Linked DNA regions of Macaca fascicularis. The protein of the gene in region 1 purifies or fractionates together with the protein of each later gene. This does not show direct contact. Links are inferred from orthologs where the notes say so. Each region holds a gene or a part of one and is shown on either strand. Other genes may lie near its edges.

Evidence for each region.
Region 2: the proteins of DEPTOR (region 1) and FBXW11 purify together in Homo sapiens (affinity purification with western blotting; 4 studies listed by BioGRID, with this or other methods). This does not show direct contact. The link is inferred for Macaca fascicularis from reciprocal best matches to the Homo sapiens genes DEPTOR and FBXW11.

Annotation. Positions count from the first base shown.
Region 1 is NC_088382.1:129,483,716-129,488,175, forward strand, and holds the start of DEPTOR (DEP domain-containing mTOR-interacting protein), read left to right. Parts: upstream 1-1,464; 5' UTR 1,465-1,583; coding exon 1,584-1,705; intron 1,706-3,157; exon of another isoform or gene 3,158-3,357; intron 3,358-4,460. UniProt on the Homo sapiens protein: Negative regulator of the mTORC1 and mTORC2 complexes: inhibits the protein kinase activity of MTOR, thereby inactivating both complexes. DEPTOR inhibits mTORC1 and mTORC2 to induce autophagy.
Region 2 is NC_088380.1:178,660,267-178,664,079, reverse strand, and holds part of FBXW11 (F-box/WD repeat-containing protein 11), read left to right. Parts: intron 1-1,653; coding exon 1,654-1,764; intron 1,765-2,754; coding exon 2,755-2,833; intron 2,834-3,813.

The DNA.
Region 1 (4,460 bases):
ACTATTCTTTTTCTGGAGTGGGGCTGAGTATGGCCTTGGGAATCTGCGGAACCAGGGTTTAAGGGCTGCCTAACTTTCTAGGCAAATTACTTCATCTTTCTATACTTAAGCTTTCTCATTTGTAAGTTGAAAACAATACCAAACTCCAGGGTTTTGTGAGGATAAGGTGTTTAGCACAATGTAAAGCACAGAATAAATGCTCAACACACATGAATACTGACATAAACATTACTTCGCCATCCTGCAGACCAACTCCAACTCTGCATGAAACAGAAAAACGAAACATTTATTTGGTACTAATCAAATTTCCTTTCATGATCTTTTATGGGTAGACAATACCATTGTATCCCCATTTTAAGAGGCAGTCTTTCAGTCTTTTCAAAGCATAACTTTGAAGCCAGAATGGCCTGGGTTAGATTTCTTCTTATACTTATTATTATTATTTGAGACGGAGTCTCGCTCTTGCTGCCTAGGCTGGAGTGCAATGGCACTAACTTGGCTCACCCGAACTCGGCTCACAGTAACCTCCGCCTCCCGGGTTCCAGCGATTCTCCTGCCTCAGCCTCCCAAGCAGCTAGGATTACATGCATGCACCACCACGCCTGGCTAATTTTGTATTTTTAGTAGAGATGGGGTTTCTTCATATTGGTGAGGCTGGTCTGGAACTCCTGACCTCAGGTGATCTGCCCGCCTCGGCCTCCCAAAGTGCTGGGTTTATAGGCATGAGCCACTGTGCCCGGCTCTTCTTATACTTATTACTTGCTTGCTTTAGAAAAGTAACTTCACCTCTCCAAGCCTGCATCCTGATGCAAAACAAACACCAATATCCATTTTATGATTTATTGTAATAATTAAACGAGGTAAGAACATATCTGAAGTATCTTTAATGCGGCAGATGTCAAAAAGTGGTCGCCGTAATTATTTTTATTTTGTAAGGGAGGATTAAACACATTTAAATAGGACATCACAGGAGTGGAGCTGGATCCCAGGTCCGACTGATTCCTAGGCCTGCGTTCCTTATTGATTACAACATAAGACAAACAAGTCGTCTTTGGTGAGAGAGGTTGGGGAGAGAAGAATGTTTAATTTCTCCATGCCCTGCAATGACATGTATAACCTTCACTGTTGACTATTTGGCCAGATTGTTGAATTATGTTTTGTTCTTTGGCAACTTGGGGTATGGAACATAGAATAACAACGCCTTCACACTAGTAACCTCCAGGCTTGTCCCTAGGATTCTACAGCATGAGCTTTGTGGGTAAAGAGAAGCTCACCAAATTCAGCCTCCAGCAGCACACACAGCTCGGAAGCAGCGCCCCGCCCAGATGTTTATATTTTGCTCCATCGGCCCCGCCCCCCGACCACGAGGGGCTCTAGCCACGCCCCCAAGCTCAAGTTTCTGGGGCCGGACTAGCACAGCGCGTCTGCCTACCCACAGGGATTCCCTCTCCAGCCAATCCGCTCAGAGCAGAGGAGCTGCCCCGAACAAAGATGGCGCGGGAGGCGTCTGTGAGGGCAGACTGATCCGAGCACCCAAACCCTCGGCGGACAGCGGAGCCAGTGGTAGCGGCACGGCCCCAACCATGGAGGAGGGCGGCAACACTGGCAGTGCTGCCAGTGACAGCAGTACCAGCGGGAGTGGCGGGGCGCAGCAAAGGGAGCTGGAGCGCATGGCTGAGGTCTTGGTCACCGGGGAGCAGCTACGGTAAGGCAAGAGACACAGCGGATGAGCTCACGATGGCACTGCCAACGCGTGCCCGCTGCAGTCCTGCGCGCACGCGCTCCCTGGCTCGTGGCTTGCGACTCGCGTGGGGCGCCCGGACGGCTGCAGGCGCGTGGATGGTTCTTGGTGCGCCCGCGCTTAGCGGCTGCAGCCCGGGTCCCTGAGGACTCGCCACGCGGGGCTGCTTGGCAGAAGCCGACGAGCGGGTGGTGAGCGCTGCGCCCTAGCCTGGCTGCTGCAGCCCTATGCCCGACAGACTCCCTGGCACCCACCGCGCTGTCCGTCTTCCCGTGTACCTGGACGCCGCCAGGCCTCCCGGCTGACAGCCTGCGCCTCGTCCGCCAAGAGAGCAAGAGGGGTCGGTGTGAGGTCCCGAGGAGACCCCAGCCCCTCTACTCCTTGCTAAAAGGAGCAAGACCAACGATGGCCTTCACTAGGTTTTCCTTTTTGCTGACAAGTCTTCCTTCACTTCCCTGAGCCTCGGTGTTTTACATCTGTAAAACAGGGCTGATCACCACGCCTCATTTCAAGGACTTTTGTGGGGTTAAACTGAGAGAGCATTTCTGAAACCCTGCACCTATCAGTTAATTGGCACATCGTCCTCAATCATTTGGGTCCGCAAGGGGGCGTGGAGGCACCTTGTCGGGCTGCCTTGAGGCTGTGCCAACTCCCCGGGCTCGCACGTTTTGGGCAGCAGGATCCATGGGGACCCTGGCTGCTGCAAGAATTAGGACTTGAGGCGTCTCACGGAACTTGGGAACAAGCGATGACCCCCAGAGTTCCCCTTGCCATTCCCATCCCTGTATGGTCCTTCCTCTAGGGCTGTTTGGGAACAGTACTTATAGTCTAACTGGTTCTGCAGCTGCCCTTCGTGTGGTCATAAATCAGTTTGCTAGGAAAAAGAAAACCCAGCTCTGCGGCGTTTGAGCCACAACTTGTACTCGGGCCCCTGTTCCTTCTAGTTCTTAACCTGAATTCCCCAGCTCGTTTTGGTGTGTCAGTGGCTGTGTTTCAGGACCTGAAAGAGTGTCTTGCAAAGGTCTCTGAAGGAAACCAATATTGGAAGTCAGAATTAACTGATTTTTAATGTTACAAAAGGCAAATTGCGCCTATCGATTCTTTGTTGATTTTTAAAAATATGTGGTCAAAATTAATTTCCTTCATCAAGAGTACTTTCTAATGAAACCTGTCAAGCCTGTCTGTGTGAAGGGACCACCAAACAAGCTTTGTGTGAGCAAGAAAGCTTTTTAATCCCCTGGGTGCAGGCAGACTGAATCTAAAAAGGAGTCAGCGAAGGGAGATGGGGAAGGGGTTGCTTTATAGGAGTTGGGTAGATAATGGATAATGGTGTAAGTTTGTGAAGTGCAGTCCAAGAAGGCGGGGGTGACTGCGTAAAGCCCTGTTGTAAAGAGTAGAGTAAGGAAGAAGAGACCTGATATCCCTTGGAGAATAAATGTTGAAGGAGCAGGAGGGTGTCTTGCTGAGAAGATTCAAAGGAGGGGCTACAAAGTAGAAGGTCATCAATATATTGTACAAGGAGAGAAGCAGAGGGGTGGAAAGAAAGTAAATCATGAGAAAAGGCTTGGCTGAAGTAATGAGGGCTGTCCCTGAAGACTTTCGGCAGCACAGCCCAGGTAAGCTGCTGGGACTGATGGGTGTCAGGGTCAGTCCAGGTAAAAGCAAAGAGAGGCTGGGACGAGGGGTGCAGAGGAATAGTGAAAAAGGCATCTTTAAGATCAAGAACGGAATAGTGAGTTGTGGAGGAAGGTATTGAGGACAAAAGAGTGTACGGTTTGGGCACCACAGGGTGGACAGGCAAAACAATTTGGTTGGTAAGGCGCAGATCCTGAACTAACCTGTAAGACTTGTCCGGTTTGGGGACAGGTAAAATGGGGGAATTGTAAGGAGAGTTTGGAGGCTTTAGAAGCCCTAGCTGTAGCAGGCAAGTGATAGCAGGCTTCAGTCCCTTTAAAGCCTGCTGTGGGAAAGAAAGTTTAATTTCTCTGCTCTTCATTACTGGGCCATCTTTTTAAAAGTCTTTCGTTGGATAGGGTTACTTATTTTTCATTTATTTTACAAACATTAAATTGCATGATGGCTCTTTTTGTCCAGCAAGTACTTCTTCCTTCAAGATGCAGTTTAAATGCCTCTTCCTCGCAGTCCCCAGAGCACTTGTTATTCCCCGCTTTTCTAGAGCCTGTCTGCACTGCAGCAGTTTTGAGAGCCATCCTTGTCACACAGGAGTTAGACCTGGGTTTGGATGACTGCTCCACCATTATGTAGGCAAGTGTCAGCATTAAGTTGTTTCAAGGAAGACTTTAAGCTAGATTGAATCTTGGCTTTGCTGCTTACTAGTGTGGGACCTTGGACAAGTTAGTGCGCCCGTAATCCTAGCCCTTTGGGAGACCAAGGCAGGCAGATCCCTTGAGGCCTGGAGTTCAAGACTAGCCTGACCAACATGGTGAAACCTCATCTCTACTAAAAAATACAATAATTAGCCGGGTGTGGTGGGGCACGCTTGTAATCCCAGCTACTTGGGAGGCTGAGGCGAGAGGATTGCTTGAACCTGGGAGGCAGAGGTTGCAGTGAGCCAAGATAGCTCCACTGCACTCCAGCCGCCACAACAGAGTGAGCCTCCATCTCAAAAAAAAAAAAGAATGAAGAACGATGGTTAATAATGGAATTTACCTCATAGTGTTACTGTGAGGATTAGATGAGTTAGTGCTTAGAACAGTTT
Region 2 (3,813 bases), on another chromosome or scaffold:
CATGGGAGTGTACTTTATTTTTCTCTCCCAAGACTGCATTATGGAATCATCCATTCCTGCCGGGATCGTTTACCTCCATTTTTCCTTCCCAGCCCTCAGCCTCCTTGCTTTCTAATAAATCTAACTAACCTTAGACATTTTGTATCTTGTTAAGAACATGCCTTCAATATCTACTTAATTATCCCGTGCCATTTCCCCACTGTCTTAACACACTCTAGTGGCTTTACATAAGTGACTAAACTTAACTTTGGTTTATAATCAAATTGACTAATGTTTGGTCAAAATAAAGATAGGGTTCAAGATTATTAAAAAAAAATACACATACTAGTAGCTTTACATAAGCTTTACTAAACTTTGGTGTTTATAACCAAATTGCCTAATGTTCGTTCAAAATAAAGATTGGGTTTAAGATTATTACAAAGTTTTTTTTTAAAGGCAAGCAAATAACAAAAAAGCTATAACGGCTCTTTAAGTTTGCTTTATCATTTTAGGCTTTAAGATACCATAAAGTTAGTTTAGAGCTTAAATCTTGATTCTCTTATATTCGTCACGCTTTGTGGTATTGCTTAATGTTTCATCAGTAAACAGTTCTTAACCTCCTCACTGGAATTGTTGAGGTTTTACAAGATAGTAATGTGTATTACTCTGCAGCTTATAGAAGAGAACCACTTTGGAGTCATAGAGGCAGTACTGAATGACTTTGATCACAGATTAGAGATGCTGTCATCACGGGTACTAAGATTTGCTAAGGGCAGCTGTAATAAAATGATCTTTGGATGTATCATAGGAATTACTGGTAGAGAGGCTAAGAAAAAGTTATGATAGAATTAATTTGCTCACTTTATTTTGTACATGCTAACTAGCTATGATTTTTTTTTCTGCAAATACGGTAGAAAATCAGTCATAATAGGAAAAAAGATCTCTAACTCCAGAATGGAGTTATATGCAGAGAAAAAGATTTGGTGTAGTCAATGGGTTTATATTTCCGCCAGAACACTGCGTGTACCTAATCAGTCTCCCACTCTGACCTTGTACATCAATTCCAGTATTCAGCATATAGTATCAAGGAAGGGGTATCCACAGGCCTCATCAAGAGAGAGCTGCTGGTCCACCAGTTCTAACCTCAGCGGTCCTCATGGACTCCACTGTGCTAGAATTACCTTGGGCGGAAGCTTTACCCGATGGCTGTATGTGATATCTCCCTTCCCACCTTGTCTCATCTGTGCTTTTTCTCCTTTACTGCCTACAATCCCTGTCTCCCCAGAAAAGTCTTTCCTACACCATTTGTCTACATGGTTTTTATCAACTCAGACATCAAGAGAATGCCTAAGAACTAAATAGAATTGACGTTTCTTGTTTGTTGATTTTATTTAAATAGTAATACAGGCACAGGATTAAAAACAGTTTCAAATCATATAAAAGGAAATAGAATAAAAAGTAAGGCTTCCTCCTAGGTTAGTGCTTGGAAACACACAGATGGTATAAATGTATACATATAGCTTTATATGTGTGGTGTGTACTGGAAGTGAGATAGAAATAAAGAGTTCCAAGATAGTGAAAAATTATATCTGTATGGAACAGATATAAAAAACTTACAGATAGTGTGAATCATGTGTGGGAAATTGTTTCACAGAGGTCTGTTTTTCATTTAAGGCTCTGGGATATTGAATGTGGTGCCTGTTTAAGAGTCCTAGAGGGACATGAAGAATTGGTCCGATGCATCCGGTTTGATAACAAGAGGATTGTCAGTGGGGCCTATGATGGGTATGTCTTTCAGATTTTCAGATGTACTGCTATAACTATATCAACAAGAAAAAGAAATGTTGTATATTAAGCAACTCTGTATGTACCAGGTCCTATGGTAGGTTTCTGTGTAGTGGTGGATGGCAGGTATTATTATACCAGTTGTTTAGGTGAGGACACTCAGGCCCAGAAAGAACTAAATCTTGCCTCAAATGACAGAGGCAGAGTCACTGTGGTTCCTAAACTTATGCTTTGAGTCATTGTTGTAAACTCCAGCAATAGCTGAGGTTGAGTGTACTCACTTCTTTGCTTTACCCCTAAATTAAGCCAGGCGCTCTCTCTCTGTCTCTCTGTCTCTGTGTGTGTGTATGTGTGTTCTTTTTCTCTCTGTGTGTGTGTATGTGTGTTCTTTTTCTCTCTGTGTGTGTGTGTGTGTTCATGTGTTCAATAATAAGTTTCTTCTTTTCCCCTTTTGGTAAATTGAACAAACCCTCTTTAAAACACCTCACTATATTTTAAATGGGCAAATGGCAACTGTAAATCTTTCCAGATGACCTTATATATACTTCCCAAATGGGTTGGTTGGTCTGTTTGTACTCCTATTACTAACTTCCAGCATTTGCTTAATTTGGAGAAAGGTATCCTTGGAATTTCACACAGAGCCCTAGCTTCTGTCAGCAGCACCTCCTCAGCCCTAGAGAGTCCCCTGATGAATGAACTTGGTGACACAGGTTATCAGGTCCGGAACTGAATTTAGATAACCTGAAGTTGTTTTCTTATCTCCCTTAAAATAATATTTCTTTAAAATTTCAGCAATTCTGAGAATGTGTTGGTTCTTAATTTTTCTGAAGTCAAGTGTAATTGGTTCAGATGATTTGTAAAAACATAAGCATGTTCCCCATTAGCTTTTATAAATAGGCAGTTCAGATGCACTACTTTTTGTCAAGGAAATGTTTGACAGCATATAAATTGTTCATTTTTCCACTAATCACATCTCATTTCCCTTTCTAGGAAAATTAAAGTTTGGGACTTGCAAGCTGCTCTTGACCCTCGAGCCCCAGCGAGCACATTGTGTTTGCGCACATTGGTGGTACGTGACCTCTTAAGACAGGAATTGGTTCCCTGTGCTGGAGGATGACCATTTGCAGATAGCCCTGTCTAGGTGTATCACAGGAGCGCTTGTGTATCTCACAAGATGCCTTCAGAGAATTTCACTGTTCATTTTGTCTAGCCAAAATCAGAGAATATTTGATGCTTAAATTACTGTGAGCACTTTTCTAAGGGGAGACATAATGCAACTTCAGATATGAAGGCAGGCATCCTGATTTGTAGGTGGACTGGTTTCCTCATAGGGCAAGCAATATTTCCTTCTTGCAGGTTTGAAGATTTCTTAATATGGCTACTTGTGGTTATGTTATGTTTTAATAACAGCACATTTTTATACTATATATAAATTTTTATGCTATATGTAAGTACTGTTGTATTTTTGAAGAGATAGTCATTTGGGAATATTGGTAGATTTAAAAAAATTTTTAGTAGCTTTATCTTTTATTTCTATTTCTTCACTTCTTGCATTTACTAGAAGATGCAGAACTCTCTTTCTTCTTGATTTTAATGGGAACCCTTATAATGTTTCACCATGAATTTTGATGCTGGCAGCAGTTTGAGGTAGACCCTGGTCATGTTAAACAAACTGTCCTTCTGATTCTAGGTTTTTCCAGTGGATTTTTAGAGTGCATCAAGAATGGGTATTATGTATTGTTGTTTACTTTTCTAAGGCCCTTTGTGAGATGATCTTTGAAATATTGGTAGAGTCTAAGATACAGAGTTGAATGAAAGAAAAGGCCTAGCAGGGGGTGCCGGGCGCAGTGACTCATGCCTGTAATCCCAGCACTTTGGGAGGCTGAGGCGGGTGGATCTCAAGGTCAGGAGATCAAGACCATCCTGGCTAACACAGTGAAACCCCATCTCTACTAAAAATACAAAAAATTAGCCAGGTGTGGTGGCGGGCACCTGTAGTCCCAACTACTCGGGAGGCCAAGGCAGGAGAATGACGTGAACCCCGGAGGC